3 linked regions of the Arabidopsis thaliana genome follow. The protein of the gene in region 1 interacts with the protein of each later gene in a pairwise test. Each region holds a gene or a part of one and is shown on either strand. Other genes may lie near its edges.

Region 1 (6,868 bases):
AAAATATATTTTCAACAATGTTTGGTTTCTAAATATTTTTGTGGATTTCTTTTTTCTATTAATTATTAGCCCTGGGCGTTTGGGTATTCGGGTCGGGTATTTCGGGTTAGGGTTTTCGGGTTTAGAAGTTTAGGACCCGTTCGGGTAGTTTAAGATTTCGGGTCGGGTTCGGGTTCGGATTCGAGTTTATTTATATATTGAAATATCAAATTTTGTGTGCAAATCTATTAAATTACTTCAAAATTTCAAAAATTCTCAAAACAACACCAGTAGTTTTGCTTGAATATATCTAAAAAGACACAAAAATAACTAAAATATCCAAAAAATCCTAATATTTTCTATATATAAGTGTAAATATAACTAATATATACTTATATTTGAAATATGTTTGGATACCTATTCGGGTTCGGGTTCGAGTTTTTCGGGTTTTGAAGTTTAGACCCGTTCAAGTATTTGAAAATTTTCGGTACACCCGCCTAAATAGGCGGGCCTTATCTAGTATCAACATAAACTTTAACTAAATAAGGAAGTTTGAGCTAAGTGTAACATTAGATAATTCAAATTAATGTTTGTGGTAGAAGAAAAAGACAATGTTAAAAAAAAAAAGGTATCTGCTACCTAGACTCGAACCCAAGCACGGATTGAAAGAGTGTGGGGACACAACCACTAACGCTAGCTTCAAATATATCAGTTGTATTCCAAGATAAACTTTATAAACCTTGTGTAGGGCACGTGCCCTACCTACCCACAACGTAGATCCGCCCCTGGTTGTCAAAAAGACTTCATAAGATCATTTTGACCACAAAAGTTCACAACTCTTGGCTCTGTACATTTGTACCTCAACCACCATCTCTCACTTTAGATTCCAGTAACTATACAGAGAGTGTCTCCTACTAATATACCGTGTTTCTATTCACTATCAATTGCAAAAAGTATTGAATATGAGAGACTTACTTCAACTTCTAGTCCTCTTCTACTACTTACTAAGTATTGTGTCAATGTTCTTGGAAGTTACTGTCCTTCCTCTCGAATCAGATTCGTGGGCTCACTTAGAACGTACCTAGGAAGCTCATATCTAGCACCTGCATTGAATAAGAGCAAGTCATTAAGGTAACAAAACAAGAAACGAGAGAAACGAATCAGAATTGTGTATTACAAACCTCTTTCATCCCAGCACAATGTTAGGTCACGGTTCTGAACAATCACGCCTGCACTGTCAACAATAGTTTGTGCTAGTTTCAAGTCAGCTTCAGCAGCAGCTCGAAGTGCTTCCCATATCTCTGGTTTTCAGTAAATTTCGCTCAGTTTCCAAATGTACATAGTGCGATGCAGCAGATTACAAGAAAGAGAGATATATATATACCTCTTTGACCACCATAGTGTGGAGAGGTGTCCCAAAATTCCTCACGCATGTTCGTAAGTTGTGCCCTTGTGATTGGCTCAGTATGTGCCCACGGTTTAGGTTTCATGATTTTCTTCCTTTTTGCTGTGTCAAACGTACAAAACTCATAAGAGAATGATACAATATAAACTACCACCAATTTTAAAACAGTTCTTTCAGTAACACCAATATTATAGCCATCTACTTCAGAAGATCATCACAGTTTCAATTTCATCAAGACAACAAATACAGTATAAGGCAGAACGAATCAGATTATATTGTCTATTGTTCACAGAACAATTTTTCTTGGTAAAAATGGAATGTTATAACATTAGTAAACGGCCATTTCATTTCAATCATACCATCGATAACAACTTTCTCTGATCCAACATTCTAATTCTGAGCAGTAGAAACAATGTTGAAGAGCATTCTAATTCTCTGCTGAACTAATTCTGAGCTTCAAAATTTGGAATCTTTAACGAATCACAAACATGTCAACACCACAATAAACTGATATTTCCTTCGAAATCACTCCAAGAATCATAACATTTGCAAGATTAGTTCATGTTAACACCTCAAAACTAGAACTATCACCAAGAATCAAAACATTACAACACAAGTATAAATCGTAGCCCAAATTCTGAGAACAAATTCAGCGAGACAAACGGAGTGCGGAATTAAAGGTTTAAGAGAGTATCGATTCCACTAACCTCCGCCTTCATTTCTGGCCTGAGAAGATCCGATACAACCCATTCTCGAACCGTTGAGAGTCGCGTTTGATTAGGTGAAAATTGGAAGTCGCTTCGAACAAGTAAAGTAAATGCCAGTACAAACTCGACCGTCGGGAACGAAACGGAGAAAGATAGCCGCCGATAAGAGTTTCACGGCGGGAGAATCGCCGGAGAAGTCTGCAAGAGTCGTCTTCAAGGTCAAATTCTGTTTTGACTGCCAAATTAGGCCATGAATGTTTTGTTGATTTTGGTGGGTTTTTGGATTTTGGATTGTGGCTTTTGGTTTTTTGTTTTTGATTTTATGAGTTTTTGATTTTGGTGGAGATTTTAGATTTTGCAAAATCTTAAATGGTAACTTTTCTAGTTTTTGATTTTTATATAATTATTATTTAGAAACGTTTTAAAATTATTTATTTAAAACTTTATTTTTATTTTTAAAAACAAAAAAAAAAGAGTTTACGATAGAATTTGTTGAAAATCCCAAAAAAGTGAATTTTGGATTTTAAGAACAAATGACTAGAATCTTTTAAATTTTGAATTCCCTATAATTTAGGAAATTAACTTTTTACAAAATCATGAATGGATGAAAAAGTGGATTTTGTAAAATCAAAAGCCAAAATCAACTTTAAAAACTAGTACCATTCAAGGCCTTAGTTTGTTAGAGAGAAGAAAGTGAAAACAGATCTCCCCGATTTTATTTATAGTCACTTTACTTGCCACGTCATATTATTCTGGATTAGTATATTATATCTGTTTGAATTAATCGTCAGCGTCTGTAGTCCAACGGTTAGGATAATTGCCTTCCAAGCAATAGACCCGGGTTCGACTCCCGGCAGACGCATTCTTTTTTATCATTTTAATCAGTTTAGAAAAACATAAAAGATAAAGACAAATGTGAATTGACGAATACGTCCTCGTCTTTATCGAAGCGAGCAAGGTAATAGATCAGAACGCGTTAACAGGGCAGTTTAGTAAATTTGGCCACACAAATGTTAGATTTCTTTGTGATAAAGACAGTACACAAGTCCTTTGTCTTTCTCGTTTGATATTTTCCAATTCCGCGTCTTTCTCTGTTGAAATCGAAAAAATTTTCAAAACAAAATCTAAGGAAAAAAGAGCAACAAGTTTCAAATCTCATTTGGGTTTTTCATTTTGAAAAGAAGGACCCATTTTTATCTCTCTCTTTGTTTTGTTTTCTCGAATCTGAAGGAGTAAAGTTAAAAGCTTTGAAGGAGAGAATCAATGGCGGGTTACAGAGCAGATGATGAATACGATTACCTATTCAAGGTTGTTCTGATAGGTGATTCAGGTGTGGGCAAATCCAATTTGCTTTCACGATTCACGAAGAACGAGTTTAGTCTCGAGTCAAAATCCACGATCGGGGTCGAGTTCGCGACTCGGAGTTTGAATGTTGATGATAAAGTCATCAAAGCTCAGATTTGGGATACTGCTGGTCAAGAAAGGTCTCATCTTTTTCAACCACATTGTTCATTTCTCGATCTGGTTTCTTATATTAGAACATTTTGATTGAAGTTTTGGGGTTTATGGTTTTGTTTGGTTGCCAAAGACAGTAAATTTTCAGCTTAGGTTAGATCTGTATCAATTGATTTAGATCCATTGGTATTGATCACTTTTATAAGAAGAGATCTGGATTAGTATGTGATTTTGACAACTTGGGTTTTGTGTAAGATAGGAGAATCCTATGATTATGATTATAAAGTTATCAGCTTTATCAAATTTCTTCTGTTGTTTTTGCTATTTTAGGTTTATGTGAGAGAGCTTGATTGGTTTCAGTAACTTCATTTCTACGATTCTTAGCTCTTCTTTCTCAGATTTCACCTAAGATTCTTCAATCATTATCGATTTCTTCTGTTGTTTTTGCTTAGTTTATTTATGTAAGAGAGCTTGATTGGTTTTAGTTGGATTCTTAAACTTTCATTTGAAGCTTTTACTTGGTCTTAATTTCAAAATTGAAAAGCTTCTTGCTTTGTATGATTTGCTATTCTCCATTTCTCTGATCAGTTTTGTAAAGCGTGCATAGTCTGAATTCGAAACTGTAAAGCTTCTTGCCTTTTTTGTGTTCCTGATGTTTCGGTTAACTTAATTCTCTGTTTCGTTGACTTTGTTTCAATAGGTACCGAGCCATCACTAGTGCGTATTACCGAGGAGCTGTTGGAGCGCTTCTTGTCTACGATGTAACCCGACACTCAACATTTGAAAACGTTGAGACTTGGCTGAAAGAACTCAGAAACCACACTGATCCAAACATTGTAGTCATGCTCGTGGGCAACAAATCTGACCTTCGCCATCTCGTGGCTGTTCAGACTGAAGATGCTAAGTCATTCGCCGAGAAAGAATCTCTCTACTTCATGGAAACCTCGGCTCTCGAAGCCACCAATGTTGAGAACGCTTTCGCCGAAGTCCTCACTCAGATTCACCACATTGTGAGCAAGAAGGCGATGGAAGCTGCGAGCGAATCCGCTAATGTTCCATCGAAAGGAGACAAGATCGATATCGGTAAAGATGTTTCAGCTGTGAAGAAAGGTGGATGCTGCTCGAACTAATCAGAGAGTAGAATTATTGTTAACAACCTAAGGATCGGTTTTTGTTAACGGTTCTATCGAATATGAAGATTGCTTTTAGGTTGAGTAATGCCCATTTGGTGTATTTCTGTTATTTATCTGATCTATCAATGTTATTGTTTGAAAATGCTATGTCAAATTTTCAGAACCCTAAATTATATTTATCTCAAACAATAGAATTGTTGAAAAGAAAAGATAAAAATAGTTTCTGCCTTTGATGATTTCAGTTTGGTTGAACATAATTTTCGGTTTGATTTCGTTTCACCGTATCGGTTCATTTTGGTTAAGTGGTACTAAAATCGATTTCTGTTAGGTTGGAATTTTGTTGTTTCGATTTTTTTGGTACAAAACCGAAGGATTACCAAAATATCCGGTTTAGTTTTGGTTTGTTTCGGTTAGCCTTTTTTAGCTCAATTTAGAGCTTGAAACTGAGCAATCGCCGGAGAAACTCTCACTCACAGTTATGGCTACGGCAATGGAAGAGCCAAGGAAGCTGAGAGGCCACAAATCAACTGCCACTTGTTGTATAGCTTCTCGTGACCGGCCTGGAATTGTTCTCACTTCCGGCGAGGTTTCTTAATCTCTAATTCAAACCTCTTTTTTCCGATGAATTTAGGTTTCGTTATTGTAGTTACTTCGCAAGATTCATAGTTTTCCGATCATACGATTATAGGATGGTTGCATTTGCTGGTTTGATTTGCGATGTAAAGATGTTCAATTCATCATCGATGTTGGAACAGAACCAGTTTCATCTCTTTGTTTCAAGACAGGTTTTGTCTCTTTGTGTTTTGTCTGTTTCTCTCTCTTTCAATTTCTTCTCTTTGTTGCAATTTGGTGATAACTTTTATTTGATTTTTCAGGTAATGAGAACATTCTCTATGCTTCTTGTGGAAACGAAATCAAGTCTTTCGATGTTCATACGGTAATTTAAAATGTTCAAACTTTGATTAACTAACTATAACCATATCCTTCACTTAGTTTTAAAGCTTCTCTCTTTATGCAATTTCATAGCTAAGTGCTACTTCTTGGAAGCCATTAGAGAGTTACAATTACAACAAAGATGAAGTTAACCAGGTAGAGATACTAAAAACTCGACTTTTCGAAAAAGTTATCATATTTACCTATGACATTGATGTTGACATCTTTTGATTTGTTAAAGGTAGTATGTAACGGAAGGTCGTCTTTTCTTGCTTCTGCAGATGATTCCGGCGATGTTAAGGTACACTCAATAGTTGTTCTTAATACTTAAAACTCTTAAAGATTACATAAACATGAATTTTGGTGGGACGGTTCTCGGTTTGATTAGTTTGCTTGTACACAGATCATCGACCTTGGTCAGAAATGCCTTTATAAAACCCTTAGAGCTGGTCACACAAGTGTATCCTTACTTCGTTTTTTTTACCCATTCTCGTCTATGAAACTCTACTAGCCTCGAAAAAATGTCTCAAATCAACACCTTAATGAGACATATAAGATATGTAGTTCTGTACAATTCATTCCATGGAGACCTTGGGAAGGTAACTAATATCTTATTGTGATTTGTTATTATATATACACATCTCTTCTAAAGTGTCTAATTTCTTTCAGTTATAACTGGTGGACTTGATTCAAAGCTTGTTTTATGGGATTTCTCAAAAGGTCGCTCGCAAAAGATTATAGACTTTGGTAAAGACTATGCCACTAATTCTGGTTTCTTTAGCCATATATATATGCAACAAATCTGATTTTGCAAGTCATTTCTGTAATCTTTCAGGATCTGATACAAATAATAACTCGGGACAATGCCTAAACCCTGCGTTTGTTCACTCAATAGCAATACCGGAAATGGACATGGTTGATAAGTTAGACAAGATATGTGCGGTTGCTAGAGGTGATGGAATTGTCAATTTGATCAATATCGAATCAGAACTTTCCCGAAAAGGAACATCATCAAAAGGAAGTAGCAGCAGCAGCAGCAACAATGTGGTCAAAAGGGTTTGTTTAGACTACTCTGTTGGTGGACACAATTCTGCTGTTTCTTGTGTAGCCTTTTCTCTGTTTCAGGAGAAAGGTAGATTCTTAATCTCTGGTGGTAATGATAAAACAGTCAAAATCTGGGATTGCTTTAAATGTCTTGATCCAAACAACAACAACAATAACAGTGATCTCCTCCATTTGAATATTAACCTAAGCAA
Region 2 (7,958 bases), about 17 Mb from region 1:
TGGTTTAGCTGCTAATAATGAGAAGCTGCCTATGAAAATCCGAAGCGCTTCTTTGAGGATTAGTTCCTCAAAGGTCTTAGCAATTGTGGAAGAAGAAGATGAATCAGAGGTCACTGAAGAGACATAAAAGCATGGCCTGAGTTTCGGTTTTTGTACATAGCCTTTTTAATCTATTGCAACATGGAAACAGAGGATTTTTTCTATTTTTGGTTTTTGAGTTCCTCTGTAAATCACTGAACTCTTGGGATGCAAAATGCAATGCAAGTGATCAGATCATTCATAATACAATGAGATAAGAGAAGAGACTTTCACAAGACTGCATTTGCATTAAGCTTAAGAGTGACTAGAGCTATATACATCATCCGCAATCAAGAAACAGATTTACATATTCTAGATAGAAATTAAACCCGCAAATAGCATAATGAGCTCTTCTAGGTCTTGTTCTTCCTCTCTAAACTTACATCAAACTTAATAGTGAAAAAAGGCATTGGTACAAGAGTGAAGTACCTTTCCGAGAGATCTCTAATGAATCTCTTCTTCTTATGGAGAGTTGAACATTACTTGTGTTGCTATGTAGAAGGAACATTGAAGTGGAAGAGCCATGAGATAACAAATGCAAAGACCATACAAGCTAAAAGGAAATTCAAGAACCGGTGACCTTGCCAGAAGCTTCTACCTTCCACCAATCGTGGACCAGATGTTCTCAGAGTTAGATTCTCTACACCATTTGCTTCATTCCGGCTTTCCTCAGACTCCACCTCAACACTTCCAACAACATTACCCGCAATCGACCCACAAACTTCACAGATTCTGCAAAGCAAAACCAAACCATGAATCTCATCACAAAGAAAGAAAAAGCTAAGCTTTGCGTCTCTCATCTGACAACAAATGGCCTCAAAACTGAAACTTCTCAAAAAGACAGTCAAAAGAAAGCTGTTCAATAACCAAAAGTGACAATAACCTAAAGAAAGTAAAAAACTTTCCTACATCAATGGAAATGTTAGTCATTTAGCCTTTCCTAAACTATCTTAAAGCTTAGATTTTTACGTACTCCTAATGGAAGTAACCACCAAACAACCATTCTCAAGAAATATGGAGATTTTGAACTTACTTGTTTCCTTTGATCTTGAACCAAGTCTCAGCACAGTGTTTATGAGCAGCAGCGAGATCAGCTTTACAAGAACAGCCAAGCTCAATGGGAACACCAGATTCAAGATTCGCTGCATCTAAGCTCATGTGACAAATCCTGCAATCTCTCTCAGATTGCGACAAATGTACAACTTTCTCAGGCAATCCAAGCTCCAGATCTATTTCCACCGAACACACCGACGCATTGGATCTCCTCTCCTCATCTTTCACTATTTCTTCCTCCTTCTCCACCGCACCGGAGCTCCGACGAGGCTCTCCATCGCCATCACAGCCACTTGAGCTATTGATTACTTTAACAGAGACAAAGGTCTCGAGATGTGGCTGTACGGATTCCATATTCGTATAGACCCGGATGACGAATCCTCATATAAATTATGAAAACGAGACTTGTGAAGATGATGAATGATGATGATCAATGCTTTGCAGCGCAGAGAGAGAGAGAAAAAAAGAGATTTCTGGTTGAAACTTTACAGTAAAATTACATGATTGCCACTGGGTTTTGGAGTTAAGTGATCGTCAGATTCTCAGACAAAACTATTAACTCTCTCCTCTCACTTGTTCACCTGGACACCTAGACAGACCCACCTCTAATAAATCTACTATTTTTTGGATCATTACTGTCAATTTAATTTTTTGGATATGAATACCTAACCTAATTGATGTATTTCTATTATATTTTGGGTTATTTAAGCAACTTTTAGTCTTTTTTTTTTTTGGGAACAAAAAGCAACTTTTACTTTCTTATTTACTTCACAAAAACTTCTAGTGATTTCATGACTATTTTAGGTTATTCAACATAAATTAATGTAAATTATAATTTTTTTTGTAAAGTTAGCTCATTATATATAAATAAATTATAAGTTCTAGAAAATGCAATATCATGATTAAGAAAATCTTCATGATGAATTCGTCTAACATAAATTTCCTAACAATTTTCTACTCAATGTTTATAATCATCTTTATAGTATTAATATCTTTGATAGGCTGTGAAACTCTACAACATGATGGAAAAGTATTTCCAATGAAAGGTCCTCTTACTAGGGTTGTGATTTATAATGACAATGATTATCTTTTAGGAGTTCATTGTAAATCAAGAGATGATGATCATGGCTTCCATATTCTACAAAAAGGTGGATTATATGGTTGGATGTTTTACGTGAATTTTATGAATTCGACACTCTACTTCTGTGGATTTAGCCAAGAACAAGTAAAAAAAGGTGTGTTCGATATTTATAAAGCGGTTAGAGATTCTTCTAGATGTAGAAATTGTACTTGGGAAGCAAAGGAAGATGGTATTTATGGATATGGCGAGATTCCTAAGAAAAATCCTTTGTTTTATAAGTGGCTAATGTAATGTGAAATTGAGTGGTTATAAAATCAAATTTGAATCTAAATGATTCATATGCAAATTTCATTGTTATTTATACGAGTTGTAATTCATCTTCACAAGTTGTAACGGCTAATAACATCAAGCCCAAATGCAGATGATCCTACCATTGTTTTGACTTAAGAATCGAGCATCGATTCTAAACTATTGTATATTACATAATTTCCCTTTGCTACACCACTAATAAAGCTTTTATTGGTCTTCTACCACTAGACTTAACACCCACTTTGTCAAAAACGTTTGCTAAATTTATTCAACTTCATCATAATTCTGCCAAACTTCTGCTACTTAGATAAGCTTTTCTCTGAATAGTTCGTATTTTTAGAAAAATTAATGTAAAATCGATTGCCTAACTAACCAAACGCTTTGTTAATTACAATTAGATTCGTGGTCGATTTACTTAGTCAATTAAATATGCTCAGAACTGAAATGTTTCGTTAGCTAGGAATTTTCAAGGATTAGTATATGAACGTAAATCATTAAATTTAGAACTCAGATTCGGTAATAACCAATAACAAAGTCAATGGCTCCTTTCCTTCATTGTTACACATCTTCACACTTTGATTTTTCAAGTAACCAAACAAAAAAAACTTTAGCCCAAAGAAACATTACATAACGCACCAATTATAATATCATGAAACTGAAAGAAAAAATAAATTAGTTAAAAAAGGAAAGAGAAGTGTTGTTGCAGCTTTAGCCCAAAGATCTCTCCTTTTTGCAGAGCTTCTTCTTCTTCTTCTCCAAAAATCCCAACTTTCTTCTCTTTCCCGGTTTCTTCGTCTCCAGCATTTTCGCGTGTTGTAACCTAATCCAAATCTTACCCATTGATGGAATAACATCATCACGACGCGTCAAAATTCTGTATCGGAGGACCGAGAGATCTCCATCTCCTGTCCAGATTCGATTCCCACCAATCCCAATTTCGTGAAATTCGTTAGGGTTTTAGTTTGAATCTCATCTCATCAGATCGAGTCGACCCAGGATTAGGAAGAAGAAAAGCGATGAAGATGGCGACGAATGGCCGGTTTTTCACAATCGGGCTAGTCGCGTCTTGGTACTCATCGAACATTGGTGTATTGTTGCTGAACAAGTACTTGCTTAGCAATTACGGATTCAAGTACCCGATCTTTCTCACCATGTGTCACATGACGGCTTGTTCGTTACTCAGCTACGTCGCCATTGCTTGGTTGAAGATGGTTCCGATGCAGACGATTCGATCCAGAGTTCAGTTCTTTAAGATCGCAGCTCTAAGTCTCGTTTTTTGTGTGTCGGTGGTCTTTGGTAACATCTCTCTCCGCTTTCTTCCTGTTTCGTTTAACCAAGCCATTGGTGCTACGACGCCGTTTTTCACCGCCGTGTTTGCTTACCTGATGACGCGTAAGAAAGAGGCTTGGTTGACTTACTTCACTCTCGTCCCTGTCGTCACCGGAGTTGTTATTGCTAGTGGGGTATTTTCACTTCTTTTGACCTCTTAAATTTGAATCCCTTATGTATGCTTTTGGATGAGTTGTTAGAGAGGTTGATGTAGATGTGATGTAGGAGCAATGAACTAGATATGTTGGGAACATAGGTATGGTTCTGGAGCAATGAACGTGATATCGTTGATTCAGTTTCATGTTTGGCCAATGATGCTAGCTTTTATCTTTGTGACAAGCTCAGACATTGTTGAATTATGCTTCACATGAGAAAATTTGGTATTGTTTTGTGCTTGTATTCGCTAGATTTTGTGTTTCTCTCATCTTCTCTTAACCATGTGAACTTTATGCTAAAAAAGTTCGAGTAATGGAGATTTTGTTCTGTTTGTGTGTGTGATGTGTTTGATTCTATGCTTGATATTCTTTAATTTATGGGTGTTGTCAGGGTGAGCCAAGCTTTCACCTGTTTGGATTCCTTATGTGCATTGCAGCAACAGCTGCGAGAGCACTTAAATCAGTGCTTCAAGGAATTTTGCTTTCTTCTGAAGGGTAAGAAATGGCTGGTATTGTTGTAGTCGCCTTGTTAGAGGTCTATATATCAATAGTTCAAGTATTTATATGAGTGTTGCTTAAAAGATTCTAAATATTGTATTGAAGGGAAAAGCTGAACTCCATGAATCTCCTCCTTTACATGGCTCCAATAGCTGTCGTGCTCCTTCTGCCTGCTACTCTTATCATGGAGAAAAATGTTGTCGGCATTACAATTGCACTTGCAAGAGATGATTTCAGAATCGTTTGGTATCTTCTATTCAATTCAGCGCTCGCCTATTTAGTCAACTTGACAAATTTCTTAGTCACAAACCACACTAGCGCCCTGACTTTACAGGTGATTACAGTTCACATTCCTTTTACATTCTTAGTGGCATCATTGTTTATGGTAGAAAAAATGATACGGGTTTTGGTTGGAGTTGAAAGAAAGTTAGTCCAAGGAAGTGTAGAACTAGTGAGAAACGATTATCTGCTTGGTCCTCCTGTTAGTGAGATCCTGTCATTTGTATTGGATGTTGAGTTGGGTTTGCTTTTTTTATGTGTATGATAATGCTTGATGTTCCCTGCGTTTCAAAACGAACTTTTGAGATATGATTCACATAAACTCATAAAACGTCGTTTTGGATCGCTCTGTGATAGGTGCTAGGAAACGCCAAAGGAGCAGTAGCAGTGGTGGTCTCTATTCTAATCTTCAAGAATCCGGTGTCAGTGACCGGAATGCTGGGTTACTCCCTCACCGTCTGTGGAGTTATCCTGTACAGCGAAGCCAAGAAACGAAACAAAAATTAGAACACTAAACACACACAAAGCTTTTACTTCTTCTTCATCATTCCCCCCTATATATATGTTTTATATTTTCTCCCCTATGGATATACAGGCAAGTAGTCTCTTTTGCTGGGCCAAACTGACTCTTGTCTTAATGAAAAGCTGGGCCAAAAACATCTCTTTTTTTTGGCAGAAACAGAGAAGCAAAGCCACACAAAGATTGATTACCAAAGGCAAGAATTTAGAGAACTTCCTCCTATGAATAAGTAACCTTTTTGTTTTTCATTTTTGTTCTTTCTTCTCGGATTCTCTTGCCTTTCCTCTGTAGGTTGTTTGTTGAATTAGGTTTGTTTCTTCGATTCTTTACATTTTAGTTTTGTGATGTCAACATTTTACAACAACACGGATTGATTCATTTAATCGAAAGAGAGAAAGTTCCTTCTATCTTCTTCTTAAAATCCATTTTCTCAATGTTTATCTGAGAATTCAATTCAATATTAAGCTATCTCAAGGTTCCTGAGTTGTTCAGATCAAATAGCTGTGTAGTGGCAGAGCAGAGAATCAGAATAGGAAGTGATAACAGTTTGCAGAAGAAATATCTAAAAGAGAGAAAGGAGACAAGAGAGTTATTTTTACTTATGAAGAAGACATAGTCTTGTCTTTGTCTATAGTCTTTGTCTTGTCAAATCACTCGCTTCATTTTCTTTATCTGGTAACGGCAGCCATTATCATATCAAGCCGTAGATCCGGATTCACTGCAGCATATCTCACTTTCATGAATCTAATCCACACATTACCAAGTAGGCCATTCCAAATATATGTCGTAAATTTTCAGGATTGTTTGACCCAAAATGTGTAAAGAACACACTCTATGTAGTGTTTTTAAACCTCCTTGCTAAAACATGGTTTCTTCGAAGCATGAGTGTGATGGAGAAAGACTCCACGTAGTCATGGTACCAAAACTTGTAATGTGACAATAATATTAACTCTCTCGACAGGGAAAAGAAAAAAAAAGCAAGAGTAAAATTTTCAGGAGATAGAGAGAGGAAAAAGCCAAAATGGGGTCGGAGAGAGATATAGGAGTAAATTGGTTAATATAATAGACTTACAAGTCAGACAAAAAAGCTGAAAAGAAACCAAAAAAGGCTTGATTAAGCTTGGAGACTGTGACAGTTGAGTTTTTGAGTGTCTAGAAACTCTTTCAAGTACTCGAGTGGGCTTTTCATGAAGAAGCTAAGGAACAAGAATTGCGAAAAGTAATAGAGATTGAAAAAGGGAGGACGATAATGATGAGGACCATGTACACACACGTATCAACTCTTTTTATCCCAAGGACTCTCATTCTATGAACCAATGGATTCACTCGACACTTTCCATGATTTTTTTCATGCAAAGATTGTTACCATTTTGATTAAATTTAAATTTCTAATTTTGGAGATATTAACTTTTCTTTATCATGTCTAATTTTTGTCTGAAAACATCTGTAGTTTAATTAGTACCTAAGGATTATTTGAGGAAACATAGTTAAAGAAATTAAGAAACTATAAAACAAATTTTTTTTTCTTACTTTACTTGTCAGATAATATATCTTGCATATCTAGTGACTCTGCAGCTCTAAACTCTGCTAACTTCAAAGATTCTATCGTGGGCCACTTTTTCTTGAGCTCTGATTTTGTCAGTAATTTTGGATTTCATATACAGTCTGTTTAGAAATCATTTATTTTCTTTCTTTCCCAAGAGTTGCTATGCCCATATTCTTATGCAACTCCATTCTTTCAGTTCTCCTAGACAAGGATAATGGTTGAAGAAAAAAAGAAAGAAAGAAAGAAAAGGACAATGGTACAAAGAAAATGTTATTTAAAAAAAAAACAACAATCAATGGTAAAAATTAGTGGTAAGAGAAAAAAAATCATGGTAATGCTTTTGGTACCTATAATTCCTCTTGCTTATGTGACTAACAACAATCAAAGCAGTATAGATTTTACTTTGACGGTAAATGTCAAATGTGAAATGTATCAAGTTCTCAATCAAACTTGTAATGAAAGGCCTTTAAACAAATTTAAACACTTGGAATTGGGTGCTTTTGCATTTCGTTTTACACGACCAAACTTTTAATGTATGTACACGCAATAATTCGGAGGAGAATAGTAAGGTTATGCAGATGAAATCATGGCAATGACTAGTAGACAAAATACATTCGTTGTTATTCTATGAAAATGTCATTATCTATGGTTAGTAATAAGATGGACTATACATGAGATAACACAGGCAAAGGCCACATGGAATGTTCTCCTTTATGTGTCCATGCTGGTGAGATTTTAATTATTTATCTCTGTTAACCATTTTTCTCTCGACATGTAAATTAACAAAACGCAACTTATTCAACCATTTCATTTTCTTCTGATAGTAAGTCCAAACAAAACAATATAAAATGTAAATGACAACAAAAAAACACTGTTTTAGATAACATTAAGTAAGTATCTCAATGTGACATATGCTTTTGCCTCTAAATGATGATTTTCCTCTTTTGTGGAACTCATGTAGAGTTTGTCAAACAACATGAATTTGAATTTTGATGGTGACTTATTATGATAATACCACAAACACTAGAGACTAGACTATGTATCATGATAATCATGCAAAATTTTAAACAATTAAATTGGATTTTTTTCTCTTATGAGTTAATTTATTTT
Region 3 (8,066 bases), about 18 Mb from region 1:
AAGGTTTCTTTCATGCTTGTCTGTTCTAGTTTCCCTTCTTTATCCTCATTTCCTCTTCCTTTGACTTCGTTCCCCGATAAAGGCCTTACAAGGTGATCCCATGGAAAGTTTTTATCTGGTTGTTTCATCTCTGCCCTGCTCTCCTCTCTTCAATTACTTCTTCCAAAGGACTTAGCCACACGTCGTGTTTCCAGATATTTCCTGTTTGTTTTTGTTTCTTGTTGCGTACCAGTCTCTTGCAGTCTAAATGGGGGTCTGTTGTAGCAAGGGCACAGGGATAATTGTGGAGCATGGCGCTGATGATGGTAATGAATGTGGAGACGGAGAGGCTGAGGTTAGGGACACAAATGATGGAGCTGTTGTAAGGACGCGTGGATCATCCAAACACGTTTCCATGTCAATCAAACAAGGGAAAAAAGGAATAAATCAAGACGCCATGACAGTCTGGGAGGTAAGAGTTTTAACTCTTTTTTGTTTCCTGTTGGGTCATTTCATATTTTTCTTGTTCGCTTGGTTCGGTTTCAGGCGCTAGCATTTGTAGCCATTACTGCTTTGTTTTCTTAATCTTTATTACATGGGTTTTTACATCTTGCTACTGCCTCTCTTAAGGCAATGACCAATCATATCTGCATCATAACCTTTGCTGCAGAACTTTGGTGGGGAAGAAGATACGATCTTTTGCGGTGTATTTGACGGTCACGGTCCCATGGGTCACAAGATTTCTCGTCACGTATGTGAAAATTTACCTTCGAGGGTCCATTCAAAAATTAGATCTTCCAAATCTGCCGGCGATGAAAACATAGAGAATAATAGTTCACAGAGTCAGGAGGAACTCTTCCGTGAATTCGAGGACATTCTAGTGACATTCTTCAAGCAAATAGACAGTGAACTTGGTCTCGACTCTCCTTATGATAGTTTTTGCAGCGGTACAACTGCTGTAACTGTCTTTAAACAGGTAAATCAGCAGTCTCTAAAGCTTTATGAGTTTTTTAAGACAGTTGATCAAAAAAAATTGAAAGATGTTTTGTCAAACATTTTGCAGGCTGACTGTTTGGTGATCGCCAACTTGGGACATTCACGAGCCGTTCTTGGCACCCGAAGCAAGAACAGTTTCAAAGCTGTCCAACTCACGGTTGATCTGAAACCCTGTGTCCAACGTTAGCATCTTATCCTTTTCTTTTAACTTAGGGCCTAATAAGTAATAACTCTTTGAAAAGTACCAAATGTTGAGTTGGGACGTACAAATAAATCTCCTGAAGAACTTTTCGCTTTGATTTCTGTAAACAGGCGAAGCAGAGAGAATAGTGTCATGCAAGGGAAGGGTGTTTGCTATGGAAGAGGAACCCGATGTGTATAGAGTGTGGATGCCTGATGATGATTGCCCGGGGCTCGCAATGTCAAGGGCTTTTGGTGATTTCTGCCTCAAAGACTATGGACTTGTCTGCATTCCTGACGTCTTCTGCAGAAAAGTCAGCAGAGAAGACGAGTTTGTGGTTCTAGCTACTGATGGGGTAAACAACTTGTACAGCTTTCAGTCTTCTGACAAATGGATTCCCTACTAAATGGTTTCTGCGTGTTCTTTGGATGAACAGATTTGGGATGTTTTGTCAAACGAAGAAGTGGTGAAAGTTGTAGGTTCCTGCAAGGACCGGTCAGTTGCAGCTGAGATGTTGGTTCAGCGAGCCGCTCGGACTTGGAGAACAAAGTTTCCAGCCTCAAAAGCTGATGACTGTGCGGTGGTGGTGCTTTACCTAAACCACCGGCCTTACCCAAGAGAAGGAAACGTGAGCCGAGCAATATCAACTATTTCCTGGAGATCAAATAAGAGCAATAACGAGTGTTATGGAGCCGCACCATTGTCACCATTGGGTCTATCCCAAAGGGTTTCATAGTAGGATAATTGTTACTGTTGTTGTTTCTAACTGTTTAGTAAAATTTGAACCTGTTGAGGTGTCGATATTACTCAACATCAACTTTATTTGTGTGTGAAATAATTTTGTGTTCTGTTTGTTTTTTGAAGCTATTAAAAAGTAAAAAGAGTAGACAAACTAATGGACTTGGTCTTCTTTTCCGCAAATCCAAATTTCAACCTCACAGTTGTTCAAGATTCATAAGTTCTTTTTGTGCAGCAAATGCATTAACCTGAACAGCTACAAAAAAAAAAGTAAAGATGGTAAGTACTTAACTAAACCAAATGATTGAACAATCTGTTAATCTCTGTTGAAATTTCATTGGTGATCACATGCTCTGGAATGATTTGAAAGATATAAGTAAACAAGATATCTTCTTGAATGGTAGAACTTTTTTAGAAAAAAATTTGTATTCAATATTCTACAAAAGGCTGTACAAATCCATAAACTCGGGGAACGAAAACGAGATAAACGGTCACCAATCTCATTGCTGTACGGCGAGAACCGAAACAGAGAGCTCGAGATCTTTGGAGATCAACACATCTCCAACCTCTCCTAACTCCTTCATATCGCTCCATTCTGACAATCCTTCCAACATCAAAAGATTTTCTTCGTGTCTTATCCCGACCATCATCAGATCGAAGTCGTCCCCTTCCTTCCTTAGTAGATCCAGTAGATTCACTGCTTCCTCTATTCTTACCTTTAAGAATGTTAGAAACAGGGGAACACATTATGATAGGTTAGATAAAGAAAAACCTCTGTTTCGTCTACACAAGAAACTTTCTAAACCGAATAGAAACCTCTGTTGCATAGAGAAGGTTTCGTCTAAGGGGAAATAAGATAGCTTCCAAGCCAAGGCAAAATAGTTCTCATTACCTCTCTGAAGATGATGTTTTTCTCGGAATTTTCTTTGCGGAAGACGTTGATGACTCTCATGTCGTGATTCCTCTCGACCATGTCTCTGAGCGGAGAGACGCCGTTCTGGTCCACGAGCCGGAAGACTTGGAGCTCGACGCTTGGATGGCTGGCTAAGCGTGTTGCATACGCAAGCATTTCACGGTCATCTGGTCCTCCTAAGAAGATAGCACCAATATTGATGGTAAGCTTTTTCAGTGGAACGAACCTGAAATCTGGGAGCCTTCCTCTGTCTATGAAAAGCGCAACAGAGCAGGGACAGTTGTGCAGGAGATTACGACACAGGAGCCTCTCCCATAACTCGATCCCGGCATCAAGAGTTAGGATCACAATATCTGTTTCCTGGTCAAAGGCAATCGCACACACGTCCTCGTGCATCGTCTTTCGCGGTGCCACTGCCGTGAAGCACTCTATCAACACGGTCTCCTGATTAGTCTTCTCGAAGTTGTGGAAGGCCTTAACGATCTGGTCCCTTCGGCTAGGCACGAGGAAGGGACTAATCTCTTGCGTGTGATGGATAAGGAGGGGAAGACTATGGTTATTAAGCTCTTCTAGATTCACCGCGAAGACTGAGAGAGGAGACCCGATGGCTGGACGAGAGAGTTCGACGAGGTCAAGCACCGGGCGGACCGCCTCACGGTTCCGGAAACAAGTGAGGATCCTTAGGGGAGCCTCCACTCGGCAGTGTTGCACCGTACGTCTCTTGTAAGGGTTGCGTTTGCTCATGGTTTGGTACAGTTTCTTCACTATCACTATGAAAATTGTCGAGTTTACCGTTGCTGACATCACCATTGCTCCAAAAGATTTGCTTGATATTTTCTGCACCCATTGACCATTATTGATTGTTATTGACCTAAAATTATATATGTTCCAAAGTATATCCTAAATGAATTATTGTTACCGTGTAATTGAAATTCTGTTTGTATATTTGAACGTCGTAAAGTCCTTGTATATTGACGATAAACCCGACAAGAATGGCGTGCCAAAGAGGCACTTTATAGTAAAGGGAAGGCAAGGCAATGGCTATCATTTTGGCAAACCTGACCACCCCAAAAAGTAGCTCAAACCGGATAACATCTCTCCAGGAAAACAGTGAGAGATCGATATTGAGGCCAATCCCAATGACGTAGCAAGGCATCAGGACAGACCAAACAAAACAACCGATTTTGTCTGACAGTCCCGTGCCTAGAGGCGGACGTTTTGGGGTGGCTAGACCTAAGACGACCGCACCAAAGAAGTAAGGTAAACCCACAAATTCTGCCCAGAGGCAGGAGATGAAGAGCAAGACGCATATAACAGAGAGATAGGAGGCCTTGAGAGAGTGTCCTTCTGGTGTTCGATTCTTCATCCACAGCATTAGTGGTCGGAACACATATGCTATCACCAATATCATTATCATCTGCATTCATTTCCGTCTTTATATCATTAATAAAAAAGCGTATATATAGATCAAAGCAAGTTTATACTATACGTAAATATTATTGGATTCATGCATTTTATTAGGATCTTAGTTAGTTTGTCTATTTTTGTAGGAATTTACACAGTCAATTATGTTTTTATAGTAAGAAAATTGGAAGATGTTCCAAAGCAAAATTTGTAGATTAATTAAGAAATTATTTATCAACTTGGGTACCTGTAAGACGGACAAGAAAGCAGCGCGATTTTTATTGGGTAAGTCAACATTAAGTTTAATGGCGATGTTAAGCATGAAAAAACACCAAGAGAGGCAGTCATGCACCATCATGGATGCAAGTGCTAACCTCCCTGGCTCAGTGTTCAACATCTTTAGGCTCGACAAGACTCCGTAAACCACCTGAAAAAACATTGTGGACTGGACGATCGCTACATGGTGGAACTCCACGGGAGGGATCCCCGCAGGCCCGCTTTTGAGCCTCTTGGAGATCAAGATGGCCGCGAATTGGCCCCATACGAAAGGTATGAGGAAAAGTAAGATGCCGTTTATGAATGCTAACTTGCCTACTCTCTTTATCATCCTAGTGTCTACTTGACATGTTGTGATGTAGCAAATGAAGAGAAAACATATGGCCTCGAAGGATTCGATTATGTACACGCTTCTCGCGTAGAAGAATGTAGCCATGTACTGTTTGTTACGTCCTATAACGGACGGTCCTAAGCAGATCCCAGCCTGCAAACAAATTCACTATTAAATATTAAGTCACATTTACACCATTATGGGCATGGCTATACATGTTTTTGAGACGACTAGTCCATATTTTTCCACTAGAAAGCTTCCAATTATAGATGCTTAGATATGGAAACGTATACCAGCATCTGAGTGAGGAATGCAAATTTTCCAAAAGGCCGAAGAAGAAACTGAAAAGATACGGAAAATATGGAAAAGACAGAAATCTGAAGGAGAAGAAGAGGAAGAGCAAACTTGAGCGGATTCTCTCCCCGGCCAATCCCCAAAGAGCCTGCACCTACCCATGGCTCGCAAAGCCAATCAACTCCTCCGTACTGAAAAGTTTTGGTTATATTTTCCATTCCCTCCTGCTAGGTATTTCCCCTAAAGAGTCAAGCCATAGAGGGAAAGAGAGAGATTGTGTTGTGAGTTGAAGAAAAGAAGAAAGTATTAATTATTCTCTTCTTTTTTTTGTTTCTGCTCTCTCTAGCTATATTTAGGGGTTTAATTGTACATGTTGTTTATCCTCTTGTTCTTTATTTCTCTTTAGAGGTCATCCTACTTTTAAGGTTTTCTATATATGTTTTCTGTGTGGTACAAAAATCTTGAGCATGGTCAGATGATCATCATTATAGCCTGAGATTGATTGCACAAACATGTGTGTTTGTAATATATATTTTGCATGTTGATGTTATAATAACCAACCTAGCTACTAAATCCATGAAGTTAGATCCCTAACAAAAAAAGATTAATTAATAATCAACCTAGTAATACTCCTTATAAGTATTAATTTAAAAAAGATCAGGATCAACAAAAAAATAAAACTATAATAAAAAAAAAATGTGTAAAATACCAAAAAATACATCTGCCAAAGTGAGATATGACATATATAATTTCCTATTTTTCTCTGACGGTTATAATAAAGTCAACACAAAATCCTTGAAAAAACAACAAAAACTGTTTAATATCTTAAAAAAGATACATGTATCTTCTTCCCCAGCTCAACAAGCTTGATCTGTTTGCTCAATTAGTTAGCGTTATGCTGAATTCAAAAACACAAACAAAAATGGTTATAAAGAAGAACGTGAATACTAGTTTTAAGAAGAAAAAATATTCCCAAAGAGAAACAAGATGAACAATAGTGTTACAAGTAATGGCACACATGAATTTGTATGCGAGGCATGGTTGGGATCAAGCTCTGGCGGATTACTTAGAGGAGATGATCCATTGAAATATTCAACTCCTCTTCTTCTTCTTCTCATTTCTCTCGTCTCTTCTCTCTCTTCCGTCTTCCAAGCTCTTCTCCGCCCTCTCGCAAATGTCGACTTCGTCACTCAAATTCTGGTATGTAATCACTTTATCATACCATTTTCTACGTTTTTTTTAATAAATTTTGGATCTCTCTATATTTCCCGCAAAGAAAAAAAGGTTTAAACTATAGAAGTGTGATATTTTGTTGGTATATATGAAACAGGCTGGGATATTCTTAGGACCCTCGGCTTTGGGACAAAACATTGATTTAGTAAAAAAATTATTCAACACAAGAAGCTATTTCATAATAGAATCATTTGAGGCAATATCCTTCATGTTCATCTCATACATAAGCACGGCTCAAGTGGACATGGGAGTTATAAAGCGAGGAGGCAAGCTAGCAATCATCAATGGATTATCTCTTTTTCTGTTTCCTTACGTGGTGGGCGCCATAGCATGTACAGTAATCACGAGCAACATCCGTGGAACCGTGGCGAAAAATAATCCCGAGCAGCTCCACAATTTACTAACAAACCAATCCGTAGTGTATTTTCAAGTGGCGTATTCGGTTTTGTCGAATCTCAAGATGCTGAACTCGGAGCCCGGAAGGTTAGCCCTCTCCTCCATAATGGTGGCTAACTGCTTCGGCTGGGGTTTTTTCCTCCTTTTGATTACCTTTGACAGTTTCTTGCATCAAAATTACTCCAAGACCACTTATCTGCCTACCTTCACAAAGGTACTACTGCTGGTTGGTATAGTAGTTGTGTGCCGACCAATATTCAACTGGATAGTGAAGAGAACCCCTGAAGGAAAGAAACTCAAGGCTTCCCATCTATGCACCATTTGCGTCATGTTGTGCACCGCCACTTTCCTGTCTGAAACTGTAGGGTTTCCTTACGTAGTCGGATCCGTGGCTCTCGGTCTTGTCACTCCTAAGACGCCTCCTTTCGGTACTGGTCTCACTGACAAGATCGGTAGCTTCTGTTATGCGGTTCTTATGCCGTGTTACGTCATCGGGATTGGTAACAAAGTGGATTTCTTTTCATTCAATCTACGCGACATCATATCTTTGGAGTTCCTTATCTTTACCATTAGTGCTGCAAAGTTTGCCTCCATCGTCCTTCCATCGCTTTACTTCCAAGTTCCTATATCACACGCAGTGATTGTCGGCTTCATCGTCTGCATACAAGGGATCTACGATGTCCAAATCTTCAAACAGCTCTTGAACTACAAGGTACACATTGATTTAGTACAAATGAAATATCATTCATCGCCAATTAGTGTTTTGACTTTTAACTACTTGTTTTAAGGGATGCAGAATATAAGCCACGAGGCATTTGGGATAATGGTGATCTCTGCCATGGTTCACTCGACCATTTTCACGGCCATTGTCAAAAATCTCTACGGGTGGGTGCAGAGGAAACACATCACTTACCGGCGACAAACCGTTCAACACTACGAACCAAACAAACCTCTCAAGATCCTCACTTGTTTCTACCACCGTGAAACCGTTCCTCCCATCCTCACCGTCTTGGAGCTCTCTACTTGTCCCTCGAGCGCCTCTTCGCACTCCATCGTTTCCGTTAATCTCGAAGAGCTTGAGCAAAATAACGTCCCTCTCCTCATTCAACACCATCCAGGTCACAACGACGAGTCATCAACGTCTTCCAGCCGCAGAGATCAGATCTCCAAAGCCTTCGAGAAATTCCGAAGCGGCCACGATTTGCAAGAAAACGTTTCCGTTGAATGTTTCACAGCAGTTGCACCGAGCAAGACGATGCACGAGGATGTATGTGCCTTGGCCTTCGAAAAAGAAACCGATCTCATCATTTTCGGGATGGCCGACG

The links. Proteins that work in one complex are often made in the same cells at the same time.
Region 2: the proteins of RABA1c (region 1) and AT5G05820 interact in a protein complementation assay, tested with the Arabidopsis thaliana proteins (one large-scale study listed by BioGRID).
Region 3: the proteins of RABA1c (region 1) and CHX27 interact in a protein complementation assay, tested with the Arabidopsis thaliana proteins (one large-scale study listed by BioGRID).

The regions. Positions count from the first base shown.
Region 1 is NC_003076.8:18,555,964-18,562,831, forward strand, and holds RABA1c (RAB GTPase homolog A1C), read left to right. Parts: upstream 1-3,096; 5' UTR 3,097-3,354; coding exon 3,355-3,575; intron 3,576-4,246; coding exon 4,247-4,676; 3' UTR 4,677-4,982; downstream 4,983-6,868. Other genes in the region: AT5G45740 (Ubiquitin domain-containing protein), read right to left, coding at 1,012-1,082, 1,161-1,280, 1,364-1,486, 2,092-2,134; AT5G45760 (Transducin/WD40 repeat-like superfamily protein), read left to right, coding at 5,158-5,265, 5,368-5,464, 5,555-5,616, 5,706-5,768, 5,854-5,913, 6,016-6,072, 6,169-6,211, 6,282-6,359 and 1 more. UniProt on the Arabidopsis thaliana protein: Intracellular vesicle trafficking and protein transport.
Region 2 is NC_003076.8:1,749,437-1,757,394, reverse strand, and holds AT5G05820 (Nucleotide-sugar transporter family protein), read left to right. Parts: upstream 1-3,033; 5' UTR 3,034-3,537; coding exon 3,538-3,984; intron 3,985-4,396; coding exon 4,397-4,500; intron 4,501-4,608; coding exon 4,609-4,837; intron 4,838-5,139; coding exon 5,140-5,289; 3' UTR 5,290-5,709; downstream 5,710-7,958. Other genes in the region: AT5G05840 (replication factor C subunit, putative (DUF620)), read left to right, coding at 1-127; AT5G05830 (RING/FYVE/PHD zinc finger superfamily protein), read right to left, coding at 570-810, 1,112-1,485.
Region 3 is NC_003076.8:254,674-262,739, reverse strand, and holds CHX27 (cation/H+ exchanger 27), read right to left. Parts: upstream 5,435-8,066; 5' UTR 5,331-5,434; coding exon 5,112-5,330; intron 4,972-5,111; coding exon 4,459-4,971; intron 4,225-4,458; coding exon 3,727-4,224; intron 3,645-3,726; coding exon 2,787-3,644; intron 2,611-2,786; coding exon 2,395-2,610; 3' UTR 2,250-2,394; downstream 1-2,249. Other genes in the region: AT5G01700 (Protein phosphatase 2C family protein), read left to right, coding at 248-451, 650-955, 1,043-1,157, 1,288-1,511, 1,593-1,892; CHX26 (cation/H+ exchanger 26), read left to right, coding at 6,100-6,312, 6,443-7,453, 7,538-8,066. UniProt on the Arabidopsis thaliana protein: May operate as a cation/H(+) antiporter.